4 linked regions of the Struthio camelus genome follow. The protein of the gene in region 1 binds, or shares a complex with, the protein of each later gene. Links are inferred from orthologs where the notes say so. Each region holds a gene or a part of one and is shown on either strand. Other genes may lie near its edges.

What was found.
Region 2: SNRPF (region 1) and RBMX2 share a complex: the UniProt entries of both Homo sapiens proteins name them as parts of the minor spliceosome. The link is inferred for Struthio camelus from reciprocal best matches to the Homo sapiens genes SNRPF and RBMX2.
Region 3: SNRPF (region 1) and USP39 share a complex: the UniProt entries of both Homo sapiens proteins name them as parts of the U4/U6-U5 tri-snRNP complex. The link is inferred for Struthio camelus from reciprocal best matches to the Homo sapiens genes SNRPF and USP39.
Region 4: SNRPF (region 1) and PLRG1 share a complex: the UniProt entries of both Homo sapiens proteins name them as parts of the minor spliceosome. The link is inferred for Struthio camelus from reciprocal best matches to the Homo sapiens genes SNRPF and PLRG1.

Annotation. Positions count from the first base shown.
Region 1 is NC_090942.1:52,291,085-52,297,481, forward strand, and holds SNRPF (small nuclear ribonucleoprotein F), read left to right. Parts: upstream 1-4,186; 5' UTR 4,187-4,486; coding exon 4,487-4,489; intron 4,490-4,698; coding exon 4,699-4,824; intron 4,825-5,111; coding exon 5,112-5,176; intron 5,177-5,762; coding exon 5,763-5,829; 3' UTR 5,830-5,878; downstream 5,879-6,397. UniProt on the Homo sapiens protein: Plays a role in pre-mRNA splicing as a core component of the spliceosomal U1, U2, U4 and U5 small nuclear ribonucleoproteins (snRNPs), the building blocks of the spliceosome.
Region 2 is NC_090952.1:1,703,366-1,711,152, forward strand, and holds the start of RBMX2 (RNA-binding motif protein, X-linked 2), read right to left. Parts: upstream 3,020-7,787; 5' UTR 2,999-3,019; coding exon 2,949-2,998; intron 2,850-2,948; coding exon 2,734-2,849; intron 2,532-2,733; coding exon 2,480-2,531; intron 2,314-2,479; coding exon 2,184-2,313; intron 2,020-2,183; coding exon 1,839-2,019; intron 203-1,838; coding exon 1-202. Other genes in the region: RAB33A (ras-related protein Rab-33A), read right to left, coding at 3,151-3,606, 5,811-6,032. UniProt on the Homo sapiens protein: Involved in pre-mRNA splicing as component of the activated spliceosome. As a component of the minor spliceosome, involved in the splicing of U12-type introns in pre-mRNAs.
Region 3 is NC_090968.1:1,819,907-1,827,672, reverse strand, and holds the start of USP39 (ubiquitin carboxyl-terminal hydrolase 39), read right to left. Parts: upstream 3,007-7,766; 5' UTR 2,991-3,006; coding exon 2,588-2,990; intron 2,193-2,587; coding exon 2,123-2,192; intron 1,999-2,122; coding exon 1,904-1,998; intron 1,559-1,903; coding exon 1,422-1,558; intron 1,003-1,421; coding exon 850-1,002; intron 736-849; coding exon 510-735; intron 359-509; coding exon 281-358; intron 1-280. Other genes in the region: C27H2orf68 (UPF0561 protein C2orf68 homolog), read left to right, coding at 3,328-3,626, 4,030-4,145, 4,832-4,977, 5,487-5,609; VAMP5 (vesicle-associated membrane protein 5), read right to left, coding at 7,133-7,336.
Region 4 is NC_090945.1:39,286,535-39,293,681, forward strand, and holds the start of PLRG1 (pleiotropic regulator 1), read right to left. Parts: upstream 3,001-7,147; 5' UTR 2,882-3,000; coding exon 2,873-2,881; intron 1,513-2,872; coding exon 1,406-1,512; intron 1,184-1,405; coding exon 1,041-1,183; intron 11-1,040; coding exon 1-10. UniProt on the Homo sapiens protein: Involved in pre-mRNA splicing as component of the spliceosome. Component of the PRP19-CDC5L complex that forms an integral part of the spliceosome and is required for activating pre-mRNA splicing.

The sequences.
Region 1 (6,397 bases):
ATTTTCCATTTCACCATGATTTATAATGGTAATTCTTCCACTATGCCTACTGCTGAAGAAAAACATTAAATTATTTCCTTGCAAGATTAGCTTGAGACTTAGATTCTCTCCATATTTTAACAGGGTTGCTACAGCAGTAAAACTCTCCCAGTGGCGCACACAACTTCAAAATCCTTCCAGGTCCATGAGAGTCATACCACTGTGTCCCCAAGAAATTAGAATAGAAAGACTGTCAGAAATCATCCCCCAGTCAACATGACTGTACAAAGTGTCTAGCTTAGGCTGAGGCACCATACCACCTAATATCTTCAAGAACCAGACACTGAGGTCTGGGAGATCTGCAAGAGGCAGGAAGGAGAATGGTATACTGCCAAGTCATCTTCACCTGGGACAGGTTAGCATGGGAAGACCACTGGGTCTTTACACAGCTGAGTCAAGTACAAACCCAACAGAACCAGAAGGTGAAGTTCATCCCATTGTGTACCCAAGCTAACTCCATGCTGCTGCACTGGATTTACTTTCATGTAAATCTGTCCTTTGAAGGTGCAGCCTCCTGGTGGAGCTTCCTATTTGGTAATACAGCTCTCCTCACTCCTAATTCATGGCTGCACCTTCACGTCTGTTTTAAGTTCTCTGATTGCAACTGCTGCCCACCTCTGTGGTGTCTGTGTTGGTGCTGCTAAGACTCCAGCAGAGACAAACTATGTGGTTATCAAAAGTAGCTTGCTTGATGTGGGAGAACAGTGCAGCAGAGCAAAACCCCATTTACACTGGTATATCATTAGGAAAAGGTGTGGGACATTAATTATGTCTGCAGTCCAAAAGTGGAAACATGGGTAGCTCTAGAAATTTTCCTAAGAAATGTGTTTTTGACAGGCAGCATGGAGTTACTGCAGGGAGTTCCTGTTTCAGCACATTCAGCTCAACCAGGAAATATTTCTGGGCAGCTCAGCTGTCTTGCAGCAATGAGAGCTGAACAGGCGCTAGCCTTCTCTCCTCAGTATTAGTGACATGGTGTGTTGACGATGTCAGTGAGCATTTGCGCTTACACAGATAACACCGTCTAATGTATCGCTTCATCAGAAATGCTGCTGCCGCCATCGGATGTTCAGCTGCTTAATGTGTTTCCTTAGGAACTAAGTGTAGGCAGTCATGCTAAATTCCCACCTCTGAGCTGTAAAAGAAAATACTATCCATCCACTCAAGATCTAAGGTTTGTATTAATCTATGACAAAAACTCTTTCCTGTTCATTTCCTGTTGAGCAACAGACTAAATATCCTGACTCAAAGGCTGAAAAGAATGCAAACTATTACTCGGCATGGGGAAGTACAAAGAAGACAAAAGGTGAAATTCACCCCTGTGCTGAAGGTCAGGAGAAGACCCACGTAAGCAGACTGTCTCTGAGTCAGAATGATTCAATCAGCAAAGTAAACAGCAAATTCCTCAAAGGAGAAAAAAAAAAAGAAAAAGCTGTTCTGTTTCCTGATTAACCAAGTTATCCAGTTATCTACATGAGATGTAGTCATGCATTCTGTGCTTCCAGCAAAGTACTTCTTCCTACCCTACCAACACACAAAACTGCTGCAGACGCAATGTACAGTTGACAAGATCACTGATGTGTGAATTCATGCACTGATTATGAAACTAGAAGTCAAGCATTCCTGCTCTGTACTCTTGCTCAAGAACTGCTGTCTATGACCTTGCAAATTTTCTATTTTTTTGATGACAACAATGGTTTTGTAAAAACAGGGCTGCAATATTTAGTCATCTGTCAGAGGAACTGAGTGAATTAAAACCTGAATGTAATTGCTCCTGTATTACCTGGTATCTAAAAAGTTCTCCCAGCATGAGTTGGAGACGCTGTGATCAAAACTGGCTAAGTATACAAAAATAAGAAAAGTTGTTTATAGATAACATACCAAAACTGCTATATTGGCATTCACAGATACATATATTTATCCTTAGCAGTTGTCAGAAAAATGCAAAAATGACTTCCACAGCATGATTTTATCCAGGAGACTGGCTCTAAACTCATTGGCATTCTGCCACATTGTTCATGTCATTGCTGGAAATCAGCTGTTTTTTTGCTCCAAATGACATGAATAATTTTGCTTTTCCTGTATATTGCTTCTTCTCAACCCAGGCTTTCTTATAGAAAGCTCATAACACAATTGGAATTACTCTCTCAGCTGGCCCACAGTGAATCTTGCCACCAGAAAGACTATTGGCTTAATTCCAATGTTGTCTCTCTTGCCTACAATAAACTCCAAAGGAAAATCACGCTCCTTTCTAAAGGTGACGGAAACAAACATCTGAGAATGCTTCTGATACATGATAGTTAAAACGAATCATAAAGGCCAATCTTACATACTCCTACCCAGCCATAAAAGAATCTCTAACACTGTGCGTGAAAGCAGCCTGGCTCAGGAGAAGAAAGACTCTTCGGCTCGACAGCATTAAAGACTCAGATTTAAGCAGGTAATGATGTTTTTTGCTTCCAGCAGAAGGAAGCTGGACTATCCTCTGGAAGGTAGAGTGCACCAAAAAAAAAAAGTTCTGTTACAGAAAGGTTAGCTACTGAACATGTGTGTTTTCCACATAAGCACCCAATATATTAAATATGAAGGGAATATTCCGTAAGCAGGTACATAAATTCACACATATAATAACGTAAGACGTGGATTAGAACAGACAACATAGACATTAGCGTAGACATGACAGATTAGTAAATGGTACAAAGATTGGTTAATGTCTCGAAGATTAAGAGTCAGGAATTATAGCCAGAGCAGCAGGGCAGAAGTTTCATGACCATGAAAACATTGATGCTCTCTACAGCCAAGAAAAGCTGTGGCAGCTTCTTTGCCTGGGAGCAAAGCACTAGCACTATGGCAAGGACATAGCTTATTCGTCTTTTAAACTCTCAGCCTTTCCTGTGTATGAAGTAATGAAAGAGTATTGGTTTGCAAATTTATTTTTATATGGGAATTGATTCCACCGTGTTTTGACCTGCAACACTTGCAGATAACACTAGAAGGAAAGTTCGTTAGCAGAAGTCTCCCGTGTGGTGCCGCAGTCATCAGCCAAGTCAAACACTGCCACCTCGTGGACATATATCTGTATAGACACACAGCTATAACAAGAGATGTGAGTAAATATATTCCTGAGCTGAAAACAGTCCTCAACGCTGTCAAACTTCGAGAACAAAACGTTAACGTCTGGAAAAGACCGCCTTCGACTCCAGCGTAGTCATTTTCACACCCTCACAAGTGTGTACGTGTAACTTACACGCACACAGCCAGGATCGCTAAGCTGTGACAGATTTGTGCTCGGCTGGGAGAGGAGGTGTTACTCTTGCGGTACAATTTGCAAGGCGAAAGAAGGTTTCTGCCGGTTTGAGGGGAAAAGGCTCACCAGTACAAGGGAGACATGGAGCTACTGGAGAGAGTCCAGCAGAGGGCTATGAAGATGATGAGGGGACTGGAGCATCTCTCCTATGAGGAAAGGCTGAGAGAGCTGGGCCTGTTTAGTCTGGAGAAGAGAAGACTGAGGGGGGATCTTATCAGTATGTACAAGTATCTGAAGGGAGAGTGTCAAGAGGATGGGGCCAGACTCTTCTCCATGGTGCCCAGTGAGAGGACAAGAGGCAACGGGCACAAAGTGAAACACAGGCAGTTCCATTTGAACATGAGGAAAAACTTCTTTCCAGTGAGGGTAACTGAGCACTGGAGCAGGTTGCCCAGAGAAGTTGTGGAGTCTCCTTCCTTGGAGATATTCAGAAGCCATCTGAACGTGATCCTGGGCAATGTGCTCTAGGTGACCCTGCTTGAGCAGGGGGGTTGGACTAGATGATCTCCAGAGGTCCCTTCCAACCTCGACCATTCTGTGATTCTGTGAAAAGAGCACGGAATCAACCGCTCGGGGCCTGCGGGGCTCTCGGGCACGAGGTAACCAAAGCAGAGAGGGAGGGGAAGGCCTCCACTCAGCTCATGGGGTCCTGAGGCAGCTGGCACGGAGGCGGGAGGCGGCTCCCGCCGGCCCTGACAGCCCGCCCGCCGCCCGGCTCCCGCAACGGCCGCCCCGGCCCGACTCCGCCCCGCTCCCCCAACGGCCGCCCCGGCCCCGCCCCCTCCCGGCGCCGAACGGCGAGAAGCGCAGCACAAAATCGTCGCCGGCAGCTACGGTGCCGCTGGCGGGACCGACCATTGGTTGGAAGACGGCCGAGCTGCGCCAGCTCGGCCAATGAGGGAGGCCCGTGGCAGCCCCCAGCCAATGGGCAGCGCCGCTTTTCTCTTGGCGCGCAGGGGTGCCGCATCCTATGGAAACTGCGGCGCCGCGGGGTGAGAGGTCGGAGGGCAGGGCGCCGCCCCGGAAGCGAAAGCCGGAGCGGGCCTGCCTTCCCGTGGCTCCCGGTCTGCGGCGGGCGCACGTGCGGCCCGGCAGCAGCTTCTCTGCGGCCTGCGCGTCCCCCTCGGTCGCTGCCTCGCCATGGTGAGGGCGGCGCGCGCTCGGGCCGGGCCGCGCTCGGGCCGGGCCGCGCCGCACCGCGGGGGAGGGGGCCGGGCGGGCAGCGGGCGCAGCGGCCGTTATTAACGGTCTCGAGGCGGCGGGGCGGCGGCCGTTATTAACGGTCTCGAGGCAGCGGGGCGGGGCGGGCGGGCGGGGATCGGGCACGCTGACCGGGCCGCTCTCGCCGGCAGAGCCTGCCCCTGAACCCCAAGCCCTTCCTGAACGGGCTGACGGGGAAGCCGGTGATGGTGAAGCTCAAGTGGGGGATGGAGTACAAGGGCTACCTCGTCTCCGTCGACGGTTACATGAACATGCAGGTGAGGCGGCGGTCGGCGGGGCGCGTCGCCGGGGCACGCTGAGGTCTTTCGGGCTGGGGCAGCCCTGTGCTCGACTCGGAGCACCCGCTGCTTGGGGGAGGTGGGGGGACGGGCACTTTTAAAGGATCTGTAGTGTCTCTGCTGCGGGCTCGACCGGAGCCGGGTGAGAGCTGCGCATGGCCTCCTGCGATCAAGGTGGCCAGACAGCAGCCGGTGGGCAAAACGTGGTGCTTTCTGTGAGGTTTTCTATTACGATCACTTTAACGCTTGCTGGTTTCCTTCTTAAGCTTGCAAACACAGAAGAGTATATAGATGGCGCCTTGTCTGGACACCTTGGTGAAGTTTTGATAAGGTAAGGTAATTGGGGCTCTTATGGTGGAGGCAGAGTCTTTCTAAATTTTTTCACATCAGTTGTGCTAAAACTTGTAATGCTAGGTGCTGTGTTTCCTGTGTAAGTATATACCAAAATAAGCATTAATGTAATTCCTGGGCAAAGACTACAAACTCTTTTATGCTGAGATTCCTCCTGAAGAGAGGAAAACTGAATTTTGAAGTACTCGTAAATAAATATTTATGATGCCTCTCTTAAGTAATTGAATGCCTTAGTTTTCCCGAGTATTGTAGATTATTAATCCCTTAGCGTTGGTAGAGTAAAATTTTACATGCTTGCATATTAAGCTTGACCATAATTGTTAATCCAAAAGTAAAATTGTCTTGTACAGCATTGTTAATCAGTTAATACTTTAAAAAAACTTATTTTTTGCAGTTATAATGAATTTTGTGGAAAAGCTGTGCAAGGTCAACAGCAACAATTTACTATGCAGAATTTTGCTGTTGCTGGGCTACTGTCGTACAGGAAAATGCCTAAAATGATGTATATGTGAGGAAAATTAAAACCTATATTTACAGCTAAGGGAATTTTTTGATTCTGTTTACAGGTGCAATAATGTTTTGTACATCAGAGGTGTGGAAGAAGAAGAAGAAGATGGAGAAATGAGGGAATAGGTGTTTTGTATATCTGGAAATAAACTTTTTTCTTTTTTATTTTCCACAACTTTGTAATAAGGTGTTTACTTCTCGTTCTCTGTATTTTAATATGGAGGAAGCTAATGCTTAAATCACTTGTAATCTCTAAATGGCATCTGGAAAAACTAATGCTGGAGGAAGAAGAAATTGTTGCAGTTTGAAACTGAGAAACTCAGAGTGAAAAGTGAGTATTAAAAGTATTGTCATACATTGAGACTGGTAATACTTAAAAGCTTTGGGTTTCGGTTGTTTTGTTTTTTAAGGCGATCATTTGAATTTAAGTGATTCCCAGAGCTGAATTAAATCTTCCAAGCTGTGTACTCTGGGAGAAAATATATGGCTCATTCTTTTATCAGCTCCATTTAGTATCAGTACTTGGCTGTCAGGTAGCCATAATGCAGTGCAGGCTAGCATATAATGGAAGATAAAGAACTCCCCGTCTTGTGTACGTGGCTTGTTCTGCTGCTCTAAGCTGAATGGATGAGTAGAGTGAAGGAGCTTGCAGGAACAGCCTTTTCTCTCTCTAATGGTGATGATGCAGGCTGTA
Region 2 (7,787 bases), on another chromosome or scaffold:
TCCTCATCCCGCTGCGTCCTGCTCCCATATTTCCTCTCAGACCCGTTCCAAGACTGCTGACTCACGCTGGCATACCGGTCATAGGCAGGATCCTCTTTCTCCTTTTTAATCTTGATTCTTGGATGTGACTCCTCTGCGGACGCAGCCCTCTTCACAGCATGCAGGCTCTGCTTTTGCCGTTCTTGCCCGCTTTTCTCTTTATCTGAAATACAGGTTCATCTTTAGGGAGCAATAGCCCTGCAAGCATTAGCTCAGCTCCTCAAGCTATGCCACTTAACACGACAGCGTTTTTTGAACACCCTCCCATCTTTAGATAAGGTCAATGATTTTCCCCTCCCCTCCCAAGTTTCACAGCCTCCTAACGGCCCAGAGAGATCCTATTCCACTTTCAGCCCTAGCACTTTTCTCCTCCAGATGGAACCATCCCACTTTCTTCTTTCACAATTGCCACATTGCATTTTTCCCAGCTAAGCTGTCCTGGCACATTTTAACATGGCTCAGCCCATCAACCACTTTCCTTCAATTCTCTTTTCTCAATAACAGACATGCAACACTAAGAACGTCCTTAACAACTCTGTGGAAATGTCCTTCTCTGGACTCAATGCTTCTTTTCCTTCTTCACTCTCCTTTGCCTTTCTCATTTTTGCACATCTCCTCAGCTCTCTGGAGCAACATCTAGTCCCCACCTTAGTTTTCTTCCATATTTTCTTTTCTCCAGCCCACTTCTTGCAAACTAGGACTCTAGCCTGACCATCCCATGCCAAGGCACCCACCCCACATCCACATCAATGCAACACTACTGAACCTGCTGCAAATAGCTAACAGGGAGCCTGTCACAGATACTGCCCAGGTGCTGGAGGGAAGAGTCCTCCACATGGCTGGTTACATGTCATAAGCACTAGCCAATTCCAGAATGACTACCACCTCCCCACCCACCCCAACACCACCATGCCAAACCAGCTCATCCTGGGAGCTGTGACCCCATTTCAGTTAGGTACCACTCGGAAGGAGCTAACAAACAAATCTAAAGAGGTTCTGCTACAAGCCACTGCTTCTAGCACTCTGCAGGCCTTGATGTGCATTACTTTTCAAGACCTCTGCTACGAGGTTGGATAAAAACCATAATGCTTTCTAAAAAAAGCATCAATCTGATCATATAGGCTAACCCTTTACTTGGCACATTCATTTAGTAAACCCAAGCTGAACAAAACTATTTCCTTAACAAAAACAGATGTTTTCTGAAAGATATACAGCAGCAGACCTTGTTGTGTCCCCTGACAATAGGGAATATTTAAGCATTGAATTGGTTTAACTTATGCTATATTTTTAAGTCTACCTTGGATTGAGATTTTTATGTCCAGAAACCAAAGCCAACTAAGTCTGCTCTTTTTATTCTCTACACAATTTAATTATGTTTTGCAGGCCACACAAGGGTCATGCAATGCTCCTGCAGCACCTCAATCTTAAAATCAGGAAGCAGCTATTCTAAGACTAAGTAGTGCCTTTCCTTTCCCTACCCCAAACAGCATTGCCGCTCCCTGGAGTAATGCTACAGCCTGGCAGCCAGTTTCTTTCTTCCAGGAAAAAAGTACTATTATTACCTGCAAGATACAGCTCTGAGAGGATGGGAGTAAAAGACTAAATACAGACAATCAGATACCACTCAGGAGATCACAAATTACAACCTGGACTTTAGGACTGAGGCCCTTTTCAAGCACACATCTGCCCCTCCTTCTCCCACTGATGCTGTTTCCCTGAGCTGAAGGCACTAGCAAGACAGAGGGATTCATGCAGACATTCCCAACTGGGGTAAGGACTCTGACAGAAATACACTTAACCTTTCTGCTTTTTTACTGGCACGTTATCATCTTCTGACAACGAATCAGATGAAGTATGAGGTGGCGTTTTAACTCCACAGCCCTTTTCACGGAGGGCTTTGGTGACATCATCTAAATCATCAGTGTCTTTGGGGGGGCGATAGCTAGCCACATGGTCCACTCGAATTGTCCTTCCTTTTATCTACAAGAAGGAGTCACATCGTTAGCACAGCCACAGGCAAGCTTCCCAAGCAACACGGGATACCAGTGACCCACACTGCTGGGGCTGCTGTTTGACACGACATGACATGTCATACCACAAGCCTCTTTAGCTAGAAGGACTGTGTCTCGCTCTGCTTCACTGACCTTGATTCCATTAAAGTTGTCAACAGCCAGAATAGTGCTTCTCTGGTCTTCATAACAAAGAAAGCAGAAGCCTTTAGACTTTCCAGTCTTCTTGTCCCGCACCAGATTAATGTTCACAACCTCTCCATACCTGAAACGCATGATTAGCGGCCAAAACCACTGCGGAGAACGCACAGAGGGCCTCGGGGCCTGCAGGAGGGCAGGCAGCAGAGGCAGAGCACCTCCCATTCCGCAGGGTCCCAGCGTACCTCCACCACAAGCAGGCCCTGAAGGGTAGCAAAGGCAGCGCCACTTACTGTGAGAACACGCAGATGACGTCCCCTTCGGTCAGCTCGTAGGGCAGCCCGCCTGTGGAGGAGAGGCGTGCGGCGGCGGCGGCACGGAGCACGGCAGCCGCCGGGAGGGGCCGCGCCCCGGGCGCTGTCGGAACCCCTCCCGCCTGAAGGGGGCGCGCGCGCGCGCGGCAGGCCCCGCGCCCCCCGAGCCGGGCGGCGGCGCCCCGCGCCCCCCCTAGCCGTGCCGTGCCGTGCCGTGCCGTGGCCGCACGTACCGACGAAGACCCAGGCGCTGTCCTTGTACTCGGCGTGCCACGACACCGCCTCCTGCACGCCCAGCTCCGCCTCCCGCGCGTTCAGCTCGTTGATCAGCTTCACCTTCGTCAGTGGGCTGGGGGCGACGGGCACCATTAGCACCGAGGGAAGGGGGTCTTCTTTCCCCGCCTCCCGCCCCCCCCCGGCACTCCCCACGCGCTCCCCGCAAACCTACTTCATGGTGACAGCGCCGTACGCTGCGCCTGCGCCCCGGCCTCCGCGCATGCGCGTCGCGCAGCCGTGCACAGCCCCGCCCCCTGCCCGCCGCGCATGCGCCGCGCGAAGCACCACCAATTGCAGCCACACAGACTTTATTGGGTAACAGTGACACAGGGCGGCGGCGGCGGCCCCGCTCCCGGCCCTCTGGGCCGGCTCGCTCAGCACGGGCAGGAGTTTTTACCGTTGGCGTCCTGCGTGAGCTCCAGTTTCTGCACCTTGCCCTGCTGCCTTTCCATGTCTCGGTAGAGCAGCGACTTCTGGGCCTTCAGCCGGCAGGCCAGGCACATGAAAATGGATTCCACGTTCTGGCTCTCCTTAGGGTCCTTGGCTGAGGTCTCAAACAGCAGCATGTTGTGAGCGTCAGCGAATTTCAGGGCCATGCTGGATGGCACTTGGATCAGTTCCTTTAAGTCACACTTGTTCCCAACAAGCACCTTGGGCACGAGGGGAGGCACCGCGTGCCCGTTGCACTCCTCAATCCACATCTTGAGGTTGGTGAAGGACGTCATCTTAGTGACGTCGTAGACGAAGACGACGGCATGAACGTTGCGGTAGTAATGTTCTACCATGCTCTTCCGAAACCTCTCCTGGCCAGCCGTGTCCCACACTTGCACCTAGAAAGCAAAGCATAGGGTTCTTGAGGCAGACGAGGGAAGCTTACGGGAGCACCAAGTGCCTACCCCTAAAACCAGGGCATGCTGCCTCAGGAGCTGGTTGGTTTTGATGAACTACAGCGGGAAGATGCAGGAGACACCTACATCTTACTAGACAAGGATTGCTAGATGAGTTACATAAGCGTCTGGGCATGTGTCCACAGCGCCCAAGACTGTATATGGCAGTGCCTATGCCCCAAAGCTTGTGTAATTCAACCAGCAATCCCAGCTCGTTTAATAAGAGAGATCATGTCAGCACTTTCATTCACCTTCAGCATTCACGGACAAGTGCGAGACTCCACCGCGCATCCCATTTCCAGCCACTGCAGCTGAGTCCAGCACAGTCAAGAGAATTAGCCGCACGCTTTTGGTCCTTGTGCTCTGAGCGAGAAACGTCGCTGCCTGATGGCTGGGTCTTGGTGACTTTCAAACGCCTTGTCAGGCATCCCTCCTAGAGCACTCCGCTGCCAGACCACTCCCTGCCTCTCATCCTCTTCCTCATGCACTTGACCAGCATTCCCACCACAGAAACGAACTGCACAAAATACTTCTCATTTCAGAAACATTCTTGCACCAGATTAGGACATTGGTCTGCCTAATCCTATGCCATAAAAGAGAACCTCAACAATTACACAGTGGTAGGTATAGAGGAGGCAGAGCAAAGAGACTGGTCTCCCTGCTGGTCCTCACAGGTAATGCCGTGAAGCCTGGAACTGGTCATTTCTAACAAAAGCCTGTGGTAAACCCAACACCACCCCTACACCTTACCAAGGCAGCACCTGCCCCAGAGTCCTTCAGAGGGGAAAAATGCTGGCAAAAAAGAGCTGCTGCTCATTCACCAATTCCATGCCAATCCATCCCAGGCCGTTTGATTTGGGTAGAGCAGGAGAGAGAGATGGATGTCTCCCACCTCTCACCTCTCCTCTTGGACTTCCCGGTTACACATGCTCCCAGGGGAAGGCCAGGTTGCTGTCCTACCCTCCAATCCTGCCTGCTGTAGCGCAAATAATATCAAAAGGTAGCAAGCTTGGCACTGTTCTCAAGCTAGCGGCAGTAAGAAGGGCTTCATGCCAGCCTGTGCTACAGCTTACAACAACACATATATGTGGTGTTGGATGGAGCTGGGGAAAGCATGGGGGAAATTAATAACTCTTCTTAAAAAAAAAAAAAAAGTATTTCATGGACAGTTTAAAGGCACAATTAAAATTCCAGTTCTAGTTCTCACTGTGATTAGTCCCTCAACTTTTGATCATCCATCTGTTAGCAAAGTAGCAATATTTGTTTCTTCAAGCAGTCTGTCTTACACCCAGACTGCTGGTGGTACTGATCCACGTAATCGGGCAGGCCAAGATCAGCTGCAAACTGTGCTTCTCAAGTTGTTTCTTAGCAGCTGCTGTTGAGCTGCAGATCTACTCTGACACATCGATCAGAGCTCTTCAGGTCTGAGCTAATTAATTTCTTACAGTTGTTACACTGGTCTACACACAGCAAATCAGTTCTATTCTAGGTCAGCGAAAATCACATCCTTGTAGTGCTTGCTAACACCAGCCTGGAACAGTAACATCACAGGTGTCAAGCCCACTGAAGTCAGCCAGTGTAAATTCCCGGCCCCCCAGCACAGCCACCACCAGCCTCCAGCAGTCTGCTCCCCGAAAGCATACACATTTCTGCATACAGCTCCTTCCTCTGGCGCCCCTGGAGCGTTGCCCCTCGCGCTGTCCTGTGGTCCGCCTCCTGGAGCTGGAGGCACTCCTGACACTTTGGAGATCCATCTGTGTTGGATATCGGAACAACAGGACACTAGCAATGTTTCACTCCGCGCTATTGTTCCAGACTCCCTGCAGACTCCAGCAAACAGCGTTTGAACAGCGCCGGTGGAGCCGCGACACGTTCGGAGGGTGTCTGCAGGGCGAGAACGAAACATCCTCCCGCGGCCCGGGGCTGAGGGCTGCATCTGGAAGGGAGAGGCGGCTGGCTGCCGTCCCAGGGGCCAACGTGCGGCCTCGCCGCGGCCGGGGTCGCCCCTCGGCGCTGCGGCGCCCGCTGCGCGCCGCCCGCACCCCCGCGGCCCCGGCCGCCTCGCCACGGCCCGCGCGGAGCGGCCGCCCCCGGCCCGCCCCCGCCGCCGCCGCCGCCGCCGAGCCGGCCGCGCGCCCGCCGCCCACCTTGATGCGCTCCCCCTCGATCTCCACCGTTTTCTCTCGGAAGTCCACGCCGATGGTGGCCTCGGTCTTCTCGGGGAAGGTGCCCCCGCAGAAGCGGAAGGTCAGGCAGGTCTTGCCCACGTTGGAGTCCCCGATCACGATGATCTTGAAGATACGTGTCTGCACGTAGGGCTCCAGTGAGGACTCGGGGCCCGGCGGCCGCCCGCCGCCGCCCGCCGCCATCCCGCGCCGCCGCCTCACCGCCTCATGGGGCAGCGCCGCGCCGCGCCGCGCCGCGCCGCGCCGCGCACAAAGGCTGCGGCTGCGGCTGCGGCTGCGGCGGGCGGAGCGGGATCAGGTGGTCGGTGCACACGGAGAGCGGCGGGCCCGCCCCGCCAACCGGCACCCGCACCGGCCCCGGCCCCGGCCCCGGCTCCAACCCCAGCCCGCCCGCGCACCCGCCCCGGCTCCAACCCCAGCCCGCAAACGGGCACCCGCACCAGCCCGCCCTGCAAACGGGCACCCGCACCAGCCCACCCCGCCATCGGGCACCCGCACCCGCACCAGCCCGCAAACGGGCACCCACACCAGCACCCGCACCAGCCCACCCCGCCATCGGGCACCCGCACCAGCCCGCCCGCGCACCCACCCCGGCACCAGCCCACCCCGCCATCGGGCACCCGCCCCGGCCCCAGCCCGCAAACGGGCACCCGCACCAGCACCCGCACCAGCCCACCCCGCCATCGGGCACCCGCACCAGCACCAGCCCACCTCGCCATCGGGCACCCGCCCCGGCCCCAGCCCGCAAACGGGCACCCGCACCAGCACCCACACCAGCCCACCCCGCCATCGGGCACCCGCACCAGCCCGCCCGCGCACCCGCCCCAGCACCAGCCCACCCCACCATCGGGCACCCGCCCCGGCACCACCCCACCATCGGGCACCCGCCCCGGCACCACCCCGCCATCGGGCACCCGCACCAGCACCAGCCCGCCCTGCCATCGGGCACCCGCCCTGGCACCAGCCCACAAACAGGCACCTGCACCAGCACCCACACCAGCCCGCCCAGCGCACCTGCACCACCGGCTGTTTCCACCAACCCTTGCGCTGTGGAGACCTGGCTGTGTCACACCAGCATGGGCACAGAGGCATGGTCAGTGTCACACCTGTCAGGACACTGAGACACAGTGAGTGTCACCCCATCGTGGGCACAGAGGCATGGCTGGCATCACACCAACGTGAGCACAGAAACAAACTGCTGTCACACCAATGCAGGCACAAAGACACAGCCAGTGTCACACCACCATGGGCACAGATACACGTTATGTCACACCAGCATGGGCACAGAGACATGGTTGGTGTAACACCTGTCAGGGCACAGAGACACAGCCGGTGTCATACTAACATAGGCATAGAGACACTGTTGGTGTCAAATATTGCTACAGAGACACAACCATTGTCCTACTTGTCAGGGCAGGGACACACAGCCAGTGTCACACCAAATTGAGCACAGAGACACAGCTGGTATCAAACCTGACAGGGCATGGAGACACACCAATACGGCCACAGAGGCTCAGCCAGTGTCACTCCAACAAGGGCAAAGAGATGCGGTCATTGCCACACCAATATAGGCACAGAGAGATGGCCAGTGTTGCACCTGTCAGGGCATAGAGACATAGCCAGTGTCACACCAACACAGACACAGAGACAATGTTGGTGTCACATGAATATCACCACAGAGACATGGCCATTGTCCCACCTGTCAGGGCATGAAGATACAGCTGGTGTCACAACAATATGGGCACAGAGAAGCAGTCAGTGTCACACCAATGTGTCTCCAGGTCGTGAAAGATGTGACACCGACTGAGTCTCTGTGCCTGTGTTGGTGTGACACCAGCTGTATCTCTGTGCTCATGCTGGTATGACCCCAGCCAAGTCTCTGTGCCCATTTTGTTGTGACAATGGCTGTGTCATGGTGCTGATGTTGGTGTGACATTG
Region 3 (7,766 bases), on another chromosome or scaffold:
TGGCTCAGCGCTGGTGTTCACACAGGGCAACGCAGGGCTAGGAGAGAGGCTAAAATCTTCTTTTAGCCAGCAACACCCTACAAGGCTCAGACCTCGCACCCAACTGCAAGCTGCAAAGTTGTCAGCCAGCTCTTTGCTCCCCCACGCGGCCGCTCTCAGGCAAGGATCGAGCAAGAGAGGTGATAAGCATCACAGGGGGACATCAGGGTGGCTGGGGCTGCCCCAAGGTTAAAACCAGCTGCGTGAAAGCAGCCTTCATCCCACAGCATCCTCCACTCACTCTTCTTCTTCTTCTTCGTGCCGCCCAGGGCTGAGTGCAGGGCATTCAGAAACCAAGAGAGAAAGTCGACTCCATCACCTGCAAGCCAGATGATAAATCAGCAGTGAACCCCTAGCAAGAGCACAAAGGAGCCTTGTCCTCCACCCAGCACCGTAGAGGGGTCTAACCCTCCTCGGCCACCTCTGGCACAGGGAAAGTGCTGCCTGTTGGCACAAGGCGCCTGTCTCACCCTGCTTGGTGATCTGGAAGTTTTTTTTGCTGCAGAGCACCACTGCCTGCAGCATCTCGTGGGGGGAGACGTGCGCCTTGAAGTTGCGCGGGTTCCACAGCTTCCGCATGAGCTCCCCAAAGCGCTGCACCAGCAGGAACATGATGTCCCCGGGCGGGCGCTTGATGTTTTTGTAGTTGTCTTCCTCCAAGAAGTAATTCCTCAGTGGCGGGACGTTGGAGAGGGCCTGCGCGCGCACAGGCGGTGATCAGCTGGGACGCACTCCCCGCTAGCCCCAGGGGGAAGTGGGTTTCCTCCACCTCCCCCCAGGGCGAGCTCAAAGGCCCTCGCGCGCCCGTACCTGGAGCACAGCGTTGGCGTAGTCGTTGGCCTTGATGTTGTTGAGCCCCACGATGCCCGGGAGGTACGTGGTGCCATCGTATGCCCGCGACAGCTTGGCCTGTTTGTCCAGGTTGGTGATCTGCTGCTTGGTGAAGGTGGGTTTCAGCACGTACTGAGAGAGAAGAGGGGAAACAGCGTCAGGCCAGGAAGCCAAAGCCAACCGGCCCCCCTCGCAGGCACTGCTGCAGTTCCCAGCGGCACCGTGCTCTGAAACCCTCCCAGGACGGAGATCTTGCCACCCTCCTGCCTCTTCCATGTGTTCTACCAGAACCCCTCTATCGCAAAGACTTAAGAAACTTTCATCCCTTTCACACAACCCTGCTGCCTTTCACGCGAGCAGGAACCGAGCAGAGACTCTCAGACACCTCGGTGCAGAGCTCCCCACCACCACTGGGCCTTGCAAAGCCTGACAGCCCAAGGGACATGAACCTAAATCCTCAGGTTTCAGTGCAGCTCAGAGGAGCAAACCACTTGCAGGGTCACAGCAGCCCTCCCCAGTCCCCCAGCCCCTCGCTGTGAAGGTCCCCGCACCGTGATGTCCTCCAGCGAGGAGTCGATGATCTCGTAGTTGTCAGGGAGGCAGTAAAACTTGAGGGTGTGCAGGTTGAGGAAAACATGGTGGCTGAACTGCACGCTGTGGATGTAGGCGTGAGACTTCAGCCCTCGGCCTGCCGAGGCAGAGGAAAGCATCAGGGACACAGGCCGCGAACAAGGGAACGCAAGACCATGCAGCCCAGGCGTCCGAGGGCTCAAACCTCAACTGTGAAGGAGCCAGCGAGGCCACGGGGAGTGTGGGATCCCACAAGCTCCAGAGCAGAGAGGGATGGATAAATGCATGTTTGGCCCCAAGCCGCAAAGGGAATCGCTCAAGGAACCTCAAGCGCGCGGGGACAGGTGAGAAACAACTCCCAGTCTGACTCGTGGGCTGCCTCCCCCTCATGCCAACGGACCCCAGGCAGCCTCCCACCAGCATGAGCCCCTCAGTGACCCCAGCCCCTGAGGCGAGAACTCACCCTGGAAGTACTTCCCACACACGAGGCAGGCGTAGACGTTGATGTGCGACAGCGAGATGGAGCAGAGCTTCTCAAAATCGAAATCCAGGACGCTCCTAAAGCAGGAAAAGGAGAAAGCCGCGGCGTATGGGGCAGCCCCCAAGGGAGCCATGCCCTGGGGTCGCCGCTCCGCTTGCCCTCCCAGTGCCCGTGGCTGGCCCACGGATCCTCCCCGCTCACTTGTTGATGGTGTCGAGGTAGGGGCAGTGCCGGCTTCGCTGGTCCTCGGGGTCGAAGCGGCCATAGCGCACTGTAGCGGGGAGCACGCAGCCCCATTAGTACCAGGCCCCCCGCCGTTCACGGCCTTCCTCCCGCGTAGCCCCGCTCCTCCAGGATCGTCCAGCCTCCTCCCCAGGTGGTGTCCCCATGCAGGGACACCAAAAACACCCCTGTCCCCCTCAGAGTGACATAAAACAACCCTCGGCCCCAGCAGGACCCCCCTGCGCACCCCCAGATCGGTCCCTCGGGTCACTCAGCATCACCCTCGGTCGTCCCCTCTGTGCACCCCCACGTCAGCCCCCGGTTTCCCCCGTGCACCCCCCACATCAGCCCCCGGCCCCCCCACCCCGTGCACCCCCAGACCTCCCCCAGCACCACCCCGGCAGCACCCCGGTTCCGCCCAGGCCCGGTGCCCCCGGTGCCCACCTGTGGGCTCGGGCTCAGGCTCGGAGTCACCGTCGGGCTCGCGCTCGCGCTTGATGCGCACCGGGCCGCCGCTGCCGCCGCCCGTGCCGGTGCCGGGGCCGCCGGTGCCGCCGCCCGTGCCGGTGCCGGGCTCGCGCTTGATGCGCGCGGGGTCCACCGGGAGGGGGAGGGGCTCTGCCACCTCCCGCCGGTCCCGGTCGCGGTCCCGATCCCGATCCCGGTCCCGGTCCCGGTCCCGCCCCCGCTCCGCCTCCCGCCGCCCCCGCGACCGCTCCGCCTCGCCCTCGCGGCGGCTCCGCGACGAGCCCCGCGACGACGACGACGACGAACCGCCGCCGCCGCCCGAGCCCCGCGGCGCCGCCCGCGCCTCCCGCTCCCGCTCCCGCTTGCCGCGGCTCGACATCCCGCCGCCCACTGCGCAGGCGCGGCGGCGGCGGCACTGCGCAGGCGCGGCGGCGGCACTGCGCAGGCGCCTCCCCAGGCCGGCGCGGGGGCACCGAGCCGTGAGTGAGAACTGCGCGTGCGCAAGAGCACGGACCGTGCGCTCCACCGCCCCCTATCTTCACCGCCGTTTCAGGCACTACGCATGCGCCGCTCCAATCCGGAAGGGTAGCGGCCGCACCCCCGCTAGCGCGCATGAGCGGGGGATCCGCCCGGAGCCGGGGAGGGGGGGGAGGCGGGGAACCTCCTTAGCGCTTGCGCAGTGCGCCGGCTCCCGCCCGCTGGCGGCGCTGCGGCGCATGCCCACCGGCGCCGGTGCGGCCGGCGGGGCTTTTAAAGAGACAGCGTCCCTTTTCCAACCGGGTGCGGTGTGCAGCGCCGTGCACCCTCGGGGGTCCGGCTCCGGGGACAGTCCCGGCCGCTCCCCGCCACCGCCGGTGCCCGCGGGGGGTAGGCTGCAGGGGGCGGCGGCGGCGGCGGGCCGGTCCCGGGAGCGGCGGCCGATGGAGGCGGGCGCGGGCTGGCGTTGCCGGCCGGGCGGGCGGCTCGACATGAGCCACGGCTTCGTGCGCCACATCCGCCGCAACCAGATCGCCAGGTACCGGCACCGGGGCCGCCTCGCGGCCCCCCGCCCGCCCCCCGGACCTCACCGGGGCCCCCTCAGGGCCCCATGACGCCCCAAAGCCCCCCCCCGGGACCCCAAGGCACCCCCGGGACCCCAGTGGAGCCCCGGGACCCCTCCTGCCCCTCCAGCGCCCCTGTCTCCCCCCCCCGGGACCCCAAAACATCTCCGGGATCCCCCCGGGACGCCCCCCTCCTCCCCCCACCGGAGCCCAGTGCATCACCGGGACACCCCCCCCCCGGGTCCCCCATGTCCTCCCGACCCCCCGTCTCCTCCCGCTCACCTCCCCCGGGCCCCCTTTGCCGGCGGCGCGGTGCCGGTGCCGGGGGCGGCAGCGCTGAGCGGGTCGGTGCCGGTACCGGTGCCGGTGCCGGTGCAGGGACGCCTACGAGCGGGCGGTGCGGCAGGCCCGGGGGCGGGCACGGAAGCGCCACACACCGGCCCCACCGCGGCCCCGCCGACCCGACCAGCAGGTCTACCGGCCCCGCGGCCCCGGTGAGCCCCGGCGGTGGGAGGGGGGGCGGGGGGGGGACGCTGGGGAGGGGAGCAGCCGAGGGAGGGGGCTGAGACGTGGGGGGGCACCCCGGGGTGGGCCAGGGCATGGTGGGCACCCGAAGGGGAGGGATGGGGATGGGGGGGCACCCTGGGATGCAGTGGGGCATGGGGGGCACCCTGGGGTGGGCCATGGTACAGGGAGCACTCAGGGGAGGGATGGGGATGGGGGGGCACCCCGGGGTGGGCTGGGGCGTGGGGGCACCCAAGGGGGAGGCTAAGACATGGGGGGGCACCCTAAGGTGGGCTAGGGCATAGGGGGTACCCTGGGATGCAGTGGGGCATGGGGGGCACCCTGGGGTGGGCCATGGTACAGGGAGCACCCAAGGGAGGGATGGGGATGGGGGACACCTAAGGGAGGGATGGGGTCTTGGGGGGCACCCAGAAGAGGTTTGGGTCACAAAGGGTGCCCTGGGGTGAGCCAGGACATGAGGGGCACCCTGGGGTGTCCCAGGATGTGGGGGGCACCCAAGGTGTGCTAGGGCATGGGGAGCACCCTAGGGTAGGTTGGGGAGTGAGGGGCACCCAAAGGAGGGCTGGGGGGGGGGGCTGGTGCCTGGGGGCACCCTAGGGTGGGCTGGGGCATGAAGGATACTCGGAGCACCCAGTGCCCCCGCGACACCGCTCAGGGTGCTGGGTGCCAGCAGCGGGGGCAGAGCGGAGCCCAGCCGAGAGCAGCGCGGGTGCCACCGCCGCGGACGCCCGCGGGCCCCGGCTCTTCTGCCTCGAGTACGAGGGGGACGACGGGAGCGTCACTGCTGTGATCGTGCACCAGGTGGGCACCCCAGGGACCCAGGCGTCCGGGTACCCCCACCTCTAACCACAGCACTGCGCTACCGCGTTTCAAGGGCGTCCCACGGTGCGCTGGGGGGAAGCTGGGTCCCCTCCTGCCTGGGCAATGCTGTGAGTGCCCCTGGGGCGCAGGGGGGCTGTGGGTGCTGGGTGCAGGTGGGTGCTGTGGGCTGCTGTGGGTGCTAGTTGCCCCAGGTGTAGGTGGGTGCCTTTAGGTTTAAGGGGTGGACAGTGGGTTTTAGGTGCTCCGGGAGGCAGTGGGTGCCTTTGGGGGGGGGGTACTCTGGGGTACAGGCAGGTGCTGTGGGGGATGGCAAGTGCCCCAGCACCCAGATGGGTGCTATGGGGGTGGCGGGTGCCCCTGGGTGCAGACAGGTGCTGTGGAGTGCGCAGCAAGTGCAGCGGGTGCCCCAGAGCATGGGGGGCAGCAGGAAACCTGGGGGGATGGCGGGCACCCACGGGTGCCACTGACAGGGGGTGGGGGCGCCACAGGCGGACAGCGCGGAGGAGGTGACGCAGCGGGTGTGCGCCCGGAGCCCGCTGGAGCCCGCCCTGCGCCGGGCCCTGTGCCAGCGGGTGCAGGACGAGCTCAGCAAGCGCCGTGGGACCCGGTGATGGGGACACCTTCCTCCGGCTCTGCCCCACCACCCAGCAGTGCCAGCGGCAGGGGGGACACTGCCAGCCCGGAGGGGACAGCGTCAGCCGGTGCCGGTCGGCATTTGATGCCAATAAAGGTGCTGCGAGTCCCCGGCGTGCGGCTCTCATTGGGGACCCTGGGGATACTGAGACATGGGGTGGGGGCACCAGGAGCCTGGCAGGGACCCCGGGGCCGTGCTGGTGGGTGCCGAGGTGCTGCATGCGTGGGTGCTGGCGTGGCCGCACCGGGGCCGCTCTCCAGGGGTCTGCAGCGTGGCCTCACCCGTTGCCATCCACCCCAGGGACGTCACCCGACATCTCCCGTCTTGTCCCCTCCCAGGGCTCTGGAGTGGCATGGCCAGGGCCATTGGGTCCCCAGTGTCCCCATCCTTTCCCTGGGGTCCCCTCCCAGGTGTGGGGCTGCGGCACCTACAGCAGTGGGACAGACTCTGGGATCTGTAGTGGTTTTGGTTTTTTAATCACGGTAGCGGCTATAAAGAGACTCACAGTGGAGACGGTCCTGGCTCCGGTGCCCACCTGGGCAGGGGGTGCCAGGCTGTGCCACAGGCACCTGGGCGATGCCACAGGGTGCCAGGGCGATTCCTGGGTGACACTTGCCCAGGGATGCCGTGCCCCAGGAGGGGTCCAGGCTGTGCCCTGTACCCGGGCGATGCCAGGCCACCTTGGGGTGCAGGGAAGTGGTACCAGGCTGCAGCACCCTGGGGTCCTGCCATGCCCCACCCTGGGCAGGGGGATGGGACTGGAGATGGGTGACATTCCCAGGGTGGGGACCGCACTGCCGGATGCCTGGGTCCTTGACCGTCCCCATTGGGGCACCCAAGGCGGAGCTGGCAGAGGGCGATTTCTCCCTGCCCAAGCAGTGCCCCCAGGTCAGGGTCACCCCTTCCTGCAGTGCTTTGTTATTGTAGGGCCTCCCCAAAGCAGGGCCTGGTTATTGTCAGCTCTCTCTAGAGTGGGTTCTAGGGCCTTGTTATTGTAGGGTCTCCTTGGAGCAGGTCCCACTGGCTTGGTATGGTAGTGTCTCCCCGAAGCAGGCTTGGGCTTTGTTATTGTAGGGTCTTCCTAGAGTGGGTCCTGCTGGTCTGTCATTGTAGGGTCTTCTTGGAGCAGGACCCAGTGGTTTTTTATTGCAGGGTCTCCCCAAAGTGGGCCCAGTAGCTTGTTATTGTAGGGTCTCCCTGGAGTGGGTTCTGCTGGCTTGTTATTGTAGGGTCTCCCTGGAGTGGGTCCTGGTGAGCTGTTATTGTAGGGTCTCCTTGAAGCAGATCCCACTGGCTTGTTATTGTAGGGTCTCCCTGGAGTGGGTCCTGGTGAGCTGTTATTGTAGGGCCTCCCCAAAGTAGGTCCCCATGGTTTGTTACTGGGTCCCCCCAAAGCAGATCCTGGTGGCTTGTTATTGTAGAATCTCCCTGAAGCAGGTCCCAGGTTGCGAGTTATTGTAGGGTCTCCAGAGGCACTGGCGGGGGGGCAGGCCGGGGGGCTCAGTCCCCACCAGGGGCGGCGCGGGTGACGGTGGGGGGCACAGGGGGGGTGGCGCGGGTGCCACCTAGCCACAGTGCCAGCACCACGATGAGGATGATGATGGCAAGGCCAACAGCCAGCCCCACCAGCACCAGGCACCAGCGCCGTTGCCCAGCCCGCTGCTTCTGTGCCACCGCCCGGCTCGTCCGCGTGAACGTCTGGCCCTGGTGGCAAACAGCACATGGGTGCCGGGATGGGCACCGCCACACTGGGCCACCCCAAGGTGCCCATGTGAGGCTTGATGTCTTCATGGTGCCTACCCAGCAAGGTGGCCCAGGGCCACATGTCTCTATGGTGCCCACCCAGCATGGTGTCCAGGGTCATATGGCCCTGTGATGCCCATCCAGGGCTCTGTGTCTCCATGGTGTCCACCCAGCACAGTACCCAGGCCCATATATCTCTGTGGTGGCCATCCAGGACTCTCTGTCCCCACCATGCCCATCCAGCACAGTGCCTGTGGCCATATGTCCCCATGGTGGCCATCCAGGGCTCCACATCCCCACTGTACCCACCCAGCATGGTGCCCCAGGCCATATGTCCCCATGGTGGCCATCCAGGGCTCTATGTCCCCAATGTGCCCCCCCAGCATGGTGC
Region 4 (7,147 bases), on another chromosome or scaffold:
AGTTCTTGTCCTAAAGAGCAACATAATTTCATATTAATAATTATATTTTACACTACACTGCAAATGACATTACAAAGCAGGAAACTGAAGAAAATCAGAGCAGGCCATACATAGCCCTGATCCTATGTAACATACTACATTTACTTGGAATGCATTTGTTTTGGTTATGCCAGTTTTCTAGAACTGGCTAGTAAGATGACATTTTTTAAACGGTGATGCCACTGCCTGTTATCAAAAGGGACTCTTTCTCATGAGAAGCAACTTTATGTTGCCAAAGGTGCCTTTCTGAAGTAGAGACCATGGAAAAGGATTCAAGTACATAATGAACCTGTATTTCACGTACAGCATGGGATCTTTTGATACATAGGCTAGTCAAGACAATTTACGGTGTGATACTGGAGAAGAAAAAGGCAAATACAAGTTCTTTTTTTCTTCAAAGATTTTTCAGTCTCTCTCAACATTTTTTTCTTCACTCTCAGAATATTTCCAAATAAAGTGTTCTGAAAAAATACCTCTACTAAAATAAGAAAGCATTTTGCATTCTTTATAAGGGAAGTTTCTATATGGGATCTACCTAATAGTTTCACATTTTATATTTAACCAAAAAGAAAAAATAGTCAAAAAGATACCATATTTAAAACAAATGGATTTTTCTACTTAATAGCTGCACAGCCAAAGAAAGTCTGAAAAAAAATTCCATGAAACTTAAAAAAAAAAAAAAACTTCATCAACCTGAAAAAGAAGAAATACATCACTGAGCTTATACTTTTCCCAGTAGCTAAGCATAACACACACTATGTTTCTGAATTACTGTAAAAATTACACAGCATCGTATCATTCCCTGTATTCTAACAAACTTTTTCCTTGTTCTAAATCACTAACCTCCTTTGAACTCTAGCAAGAAAAATACCAATGAAAACCAGCTATTATGATTTCCTCCTGTATCTGTGATGGATTAACACTACAGCCTTGAGAACTAACTTCAGTGAGACTGTCTCTTCCAAAACAAAAGACAAACATACCATTAGGAGCAAACTAACCTTGATTGCCAGAATACTGTTTATGTCCATAAGGATCCCCAGTGTTTGAGCCTCCTTTCTCTCTCAAGTTTTCTTTCAGAGTGGGCATGTGCAACACTGAGCCATACTCTGTACGCAACTTGACTGCCATCTTTACTTTGTGACTGTTGGAAGAGGAAAGCATATTAAAGCCTAATCTTTGAGTTGTTATTAACTTTTGAAATATTTTAGAAAGCATTTGACACCACTCACTTTACAATCCTCAAATTTTTCTTCCCTTAACATCACACTGTAATTCTATCCAAACTTGTGACTTGACTAGAACAACCGCTACCATAATTTAAAGCTTTGAGACATACCAGTAATTCACTGATTGCAGCACATACCTTTCTTCATCTAATGGTATAGGCTTGGCATTATCAGCTACAAACATATCATGGGTTCTCTTCAAAGATCTGAACACAAGTGTGTGCACAGAATGCTTTTGGACTTCCTAAAAATAAAGGAAAGCATATTTAAATACATTTGGCCACAGCTGAATAAGGAATTGAAAACAGTAATACAAGTTAAATAGAGTAGCAATTTCAGGCCCTGACAGTGTTAAATGATGCGGCACTATCCAGTTCGCAGAAAACATTCTTGTTGGAAACTAAACATTAAAGTTTATGTGTTGTTTTAATTCAGTGTTTACTCAACTCTCCCTTTCCTGGAAACCAACAAAACTGAGAAAAGCAGGCCAAAAACTTTGATCAAACTTTCTGCACTGGCACCTATATGATGAACACATAAACAGGAAAGATTTTCCTACACACTTGCCAGTTCTGTTTTTATATAGTAACTGATTCTGAAAACATTCCTATAAATTCTATTTCACTATCTCCATAAAAAGAACAAGAGCATTCATAAAACTTCTGTGTAAACTGTGTCACTTAATGCAAGCACGGGAGCAAACATGGGCTCAAACCTGACAAAATTTGTTTTCTCCAAATAATTTTGTTTCCTTATTACCAAAAGCAAAACATTAAAATTCCATTCAAAGACTAAGAAGCAAAATAACAAAACTTTTAGGTCTCTTTCTACAGAATACTCTCTTATTACCAGCACAGTTCAGTTTTTGTTTTCAAATCTTTTCCTCCCAAAGATAAAAAAAAAAAGTCATTAGGAAATAGCTGAAAACAGAACTCTCTATAGGACTGCCTTTGTTCTGCACATCACAGAAATAACAGCAATAAACTGGAAACTACGTTAACACTTTTTGGAACTGGGTTGGGAGTTTCATGCAAACTGAAGAAAGAACTACGGGGAAGAACTGCTGTTCAACTACAGTAGCTATTGTAAACACCACACGAGCGCCAAGTAACAGAATGCCTCCCCATTACGAACGGAAGATCGTGGAGCATCTGGCAACGCTTTCGACAGAGATACCACACTGAAAAAAACAGCAGGCAGCCTGACATAGGCCAGCATTCTTTACATTTTCTTACAGGCTCCTGACAGTTCCCTGTTTTCAGCAGCGCACGAAACTCGCTCCACGCTAACTACCCCACCGCCGACAAACGCGGCGGCCGCCTGCCGGGCAGCGCTGCCGAGACCTCACGAGAAACCCACCGCGTTCCCGACTAGCTAACAAGGCCCGAGAGGGGCACAGCCCCGCGCCCGCCTCCACGCCCGGCCTCAGCCTCGCAAACCACGGCCCACCGAGGCCGAGGAAACCCTCCCGCGCTGCCCTCGGGGCCAGGGGCGCCGCAAAGGCCGAGGGACCGCCGCAGCCGCCGCCTTCACGGGCCCAAGCCGCCCCCGTCGCCTCGCGCCGCGCTCCGCCGCCACCGCGCCGCGGGGTCCGGCCGCCTCACCTCCACCATGGCGCCGGCCACCTCGGACAGCCGCAGCTCACCGCCACCCGCTATGGAGGCACTTCCGGCGCCTGCCTCGCGCCGCACCGGAAGTGGCGCGCCGCGCGGCGAGCGCGCACGCGCGCCGGGGACGGGCGGAGGGAGGGAGGCGAAGGGCGGGGCCGGAATGGGCCGTTGGCGGCGGCGGCGGCGGCGCAGTTTGGGCGGGGCTCAGCCGCACCACCCCCTATTTCCCGTGCCTGGGGTCTGCGGGTTCGAGTCCCGCTCGGGGCGAGAGGGGTCAGTGAGGCGAGGTAGGGCTGTGCCTGAGGCTTCGGCTCCAGAAAGGGGAGTTGCTAGTGGCTGGCAGCAGTCAAATGTCCTTTTATCAGTTAAAAAAAAAAATCTGGATCTTGCAGGTGCTCACCAAGCACTAGCAAAAACCTCCATGCAGGGGCTGCTGAGGTGGAGGGGTAACAACCGCCACAAAATGGGTCTACGGAGTAGGGAAACGGCTCCTAGGGGAGCAAAGCAAGACCTGCAGAGAGCCGGGAAGAGCCTCCTTAATGAGTCGTGGAGGTTGGGCTGTCTGGTGGTGTTTTGTCTAGTGATAAACTGGCACGTATCGAAACTTGAGTTGAATTAGGCCTTGCAGATGAAGCTAAAACAAATGACAAATGGTTTTTCAACCATATAAATAAAAATAAAACACGGAGAGAAAAACTGAGACCGCTCTGGGGTGGGAGCGGTCAAGATGGAGGTAAATGAGCAACCGCCCAAGCAGAAAAAAGTGCTAATATTTTATGCTAGTTGTATCAGCTAGACCGATACAACATCTTGATTCGGTCCTGTTGGGTTAGTTGATACCGACGATTTTTAATCATATAATCAAGACTGGCTGTGGCAGGGACTCGGCGTAAGCAAGGGCACGTCACCGTGCTGATACTTCTGTCTTAAAAGCAACCCTTCACAGTCACCGTCATCACGAACTAGTAAATCTTCCCGTGGTGAAGCTACACATGTTCAGCGCAAGCGTGAACAAGAAATGCTTTAACGCCAGCCTATGCAAGCCGCAGTTACAGCTACCGAACAGCGGAGTGCAATATTGAGCTTTCTGAAAGATAAACTGTGTCTTGCTAAGACCTTGTGAGAACAAGCATGAAATACCCGTAAGGATCCCCTATTACGAGTGATGTCAGCTTGATTTTATAGGACGTGATGGCGTTTTTAATTGTTTTGTGTGGTGCGGTTACATATCTTAATGGTCATTTCCTTCATGAGTTCTCCAAGATAAAGCCGGTTCATGAAACCGTACACAATGAGTTGGACATGGACAATTTTTTAAACCCAGGAGTAAAATGCAACCTCTAAAGAAAAATATTAGTGTTATGTAATATTCTAACAGTTATACTTGATAACTCTTCTGGAAAGATTTCTTTAACTTATGTCCATGGGAATGCTACTTTAAAATGGGAACTAAAGTTGTATATGAGTTGGTGATCCCTACATCTCATGACAAGGTGTGAATTGCTAAAGGACTGAAGTCCATATTTTTTTCAAAGCGTATCCTGCAGCACATTCTAAAAATGTATCATCCAGCACATTGTTCACTTGCCTTCGTAAGTAAAATAACCAAATGCACATGTACCAACTGCAAAGATGCACCTATCTTCTTCACATATACCCATCTACTCTTAAATTCAGGAAGTCTTTTCCCACCAAGCTAAAGCTGTGATTTGGCAAGCACATCTTTTGTCAGTGGGGCCAGCTTTAGTAGCCCTTGCCCCTCCATTACGTTGCTCTTTTTTACCACTGTACCCGTCACTTAATGCAGCTGTCTGTGTGGCTTGAGTTGTGAGCAGACTGAGAACTGATTTAGGCTAAAAAATAATCTACTGAAATACCCATGGTTCATTCAAACTTCTCATCTTTATTAGTCATAGGGTGGCACAACCATGGGATTATTTCTGGCATAAAAATTGCCCTTCTGTTTTGCATAATGACCATCCTCTCTTTCCAAAATTGCTAGATCATTCCTGGTGGCCAGACTGCTCTTTTATAGTTGATAATTGAGATGCAGTAATAGCCATAAATGCACCCTACGTAGCTTCTAACCCCAGCATGCTTCATGCCTATTCTGGGGCTAAGATAGGAGATGGGTAGCAGATGTCTGCTACATTATGCCCCTAGCAGTGGAGGGCCATTGCCATCTCTATTTTGAGCCTGGGAGCCAGGTTTCATGTTTAACCCGAGGACCTATTTCGACAGTCCATCCTGAGAGGCTGGGAAACGCCGGCGGGTTCCTGAGGCTTCGACGGGGATGAGTGCGGTAGACCACAGCAGCAGAGCTGTGCCTCAAGGAGGGGAAGCCCCGTCCACCCTTGTTTAGGTTGCAAACTGGAGCGCAAACTCCATAGGGCAGGAGGTCACTATGGTGCAAGCTGGTTGTGTCCTGCTGGGCTGGTGAGATCAGAGGTGAATTGCAGAGCTCGCTGCTGGAGGGGATCATTCTACCTCTGCCAGAGGGCAAGGGGTCTCCAGCTTGCCTAAGCGTGCTTTCTTGGTTCTAGTGTAAATTCCGTTTATTGCCTAGCATTTAGCCTCTCTTCCCTAAAGAGAAGGAGGCCCCCAAAGGACAGCTGGCTAACCCACGCCCCTGTTAAATCTCCGTTTGTTGCAGATGGAGCCTAGTCTGGGCAGAATGCGTTTGTGCCAGTTGATAGCAGCAAAGGGTGGGTGAACGTTTCCCGAGGCATCTACCTGGGATTCAAGTGACCATGAAGTATTTACCTGGCTTATGGGCTTTGCAAATATAGTTTCTTTTATTTCTCTCACATCCCTGAAAACCATGCTAGAACTTCTTCCAGCCTCTTGGTTTTTGTACGAAAAAGGCTGCCAGCAGGGATTTTCAAGATAAGTGTGGGCTCCAGAGCTTTCTCAGCTGTCTGTTTTCAGAATTCCATCAATTGAAGACACGCAGGTTTTAAAAGGAGATTTAGGACCAGAGATTTCAAACAATTTTTTAAACATCTTTTTTTTAACACGGAGAGAAGTGCATGTCTTTGGTTGGTTGGCTGACCAATGGATTTAATGTGTGTAGATGGTTAGTCTCTGCCAATATATAAAGTACTGTGATATGCTTGTTTCCTTTCTATTGTCTGTTAAAAGAAATCAGGCTTACTTTTTATTGCATTTTTTAAGAAAAGCTTACTTGAGATGCAGACTTTTCTATCAGTCCTTGAAAAAAAAAATCCTCTATTTAGATTTTGCAAAAAAATTTCATTCATATATGCTGTTTCTTGATGTTATTATTAGTGTTCACATAACCCTGTTGTTATTCTCTACTTTTTACAAGTAAACATTCCCTGCAGAATTTTTTAATCTTGCAATGCTTTAGAAAATCAGAGATCAAATTAATCTCTGTAATAATTAAATCTTTTCCAATAGATTTAGTCCAAGGTGAAATTTAGTCCCAGAACTTCATTAAATCATGTCAGCAATATTAATTAGAATATTAATTTTATTCAATTTTTTTATTATATGCTGTAGTTGATGTATTTTTGCATATCAGCTACAGCTGTAATAACAAACTGTGGGATTTTTTGCAAATCACCATTTAGAAAAGGTTACTAGTAGGTTGGATGTGCTTTTAGTGCTATTTTTAAGACCAAGGTGAATAGTTTCTCTCATTAAGGTTTTAAGAACCTGCTTGCTCCCGGGGCATGAAGATAACATAATTCTCATTTACGATAAACCTTTGCAGTAGTATTTGTTACCAGTAAAAGGCAGAAATAAGGACACTAGAGATTAACATATAACTTTTCATTATTCTTTTCGTAGTATGAACTTATTGCAACACTGCTTGTTTAAAAGGACATTCTAAATCAACTGCTAACAACTGGATGTATTTTTAAATTTAATTCAGTAAGCATTATAGCTTATCTGTGGCATAAGAAAGTTCTGTTCCTCCCACATCAAGACTGCTTCAGAGAGCACATTCAGCTTTGAAGCTCCATCATTCAGTGACCTTGACTTGTCTGACTGAGGTTTTGTGTAAAGAGCATTGCATTATCGACAGACAAACCAATAAAACAAACACGAGCGACAGTGCACAAATATTCATTCTTAAAAACACATGCTTGCACCTCTGCCAACAGGTGTCTTTTCTGCATGGTAGGTAGTACTGTACTGTACAAAAAGAGGTCACGGAACACCATAGGGTCGTTGTTTTATTACTGCAATTCCTAATAGCAGGTTTGTAGTGATATCATTGCTACGTAAGTCCAGGAGCAGTTT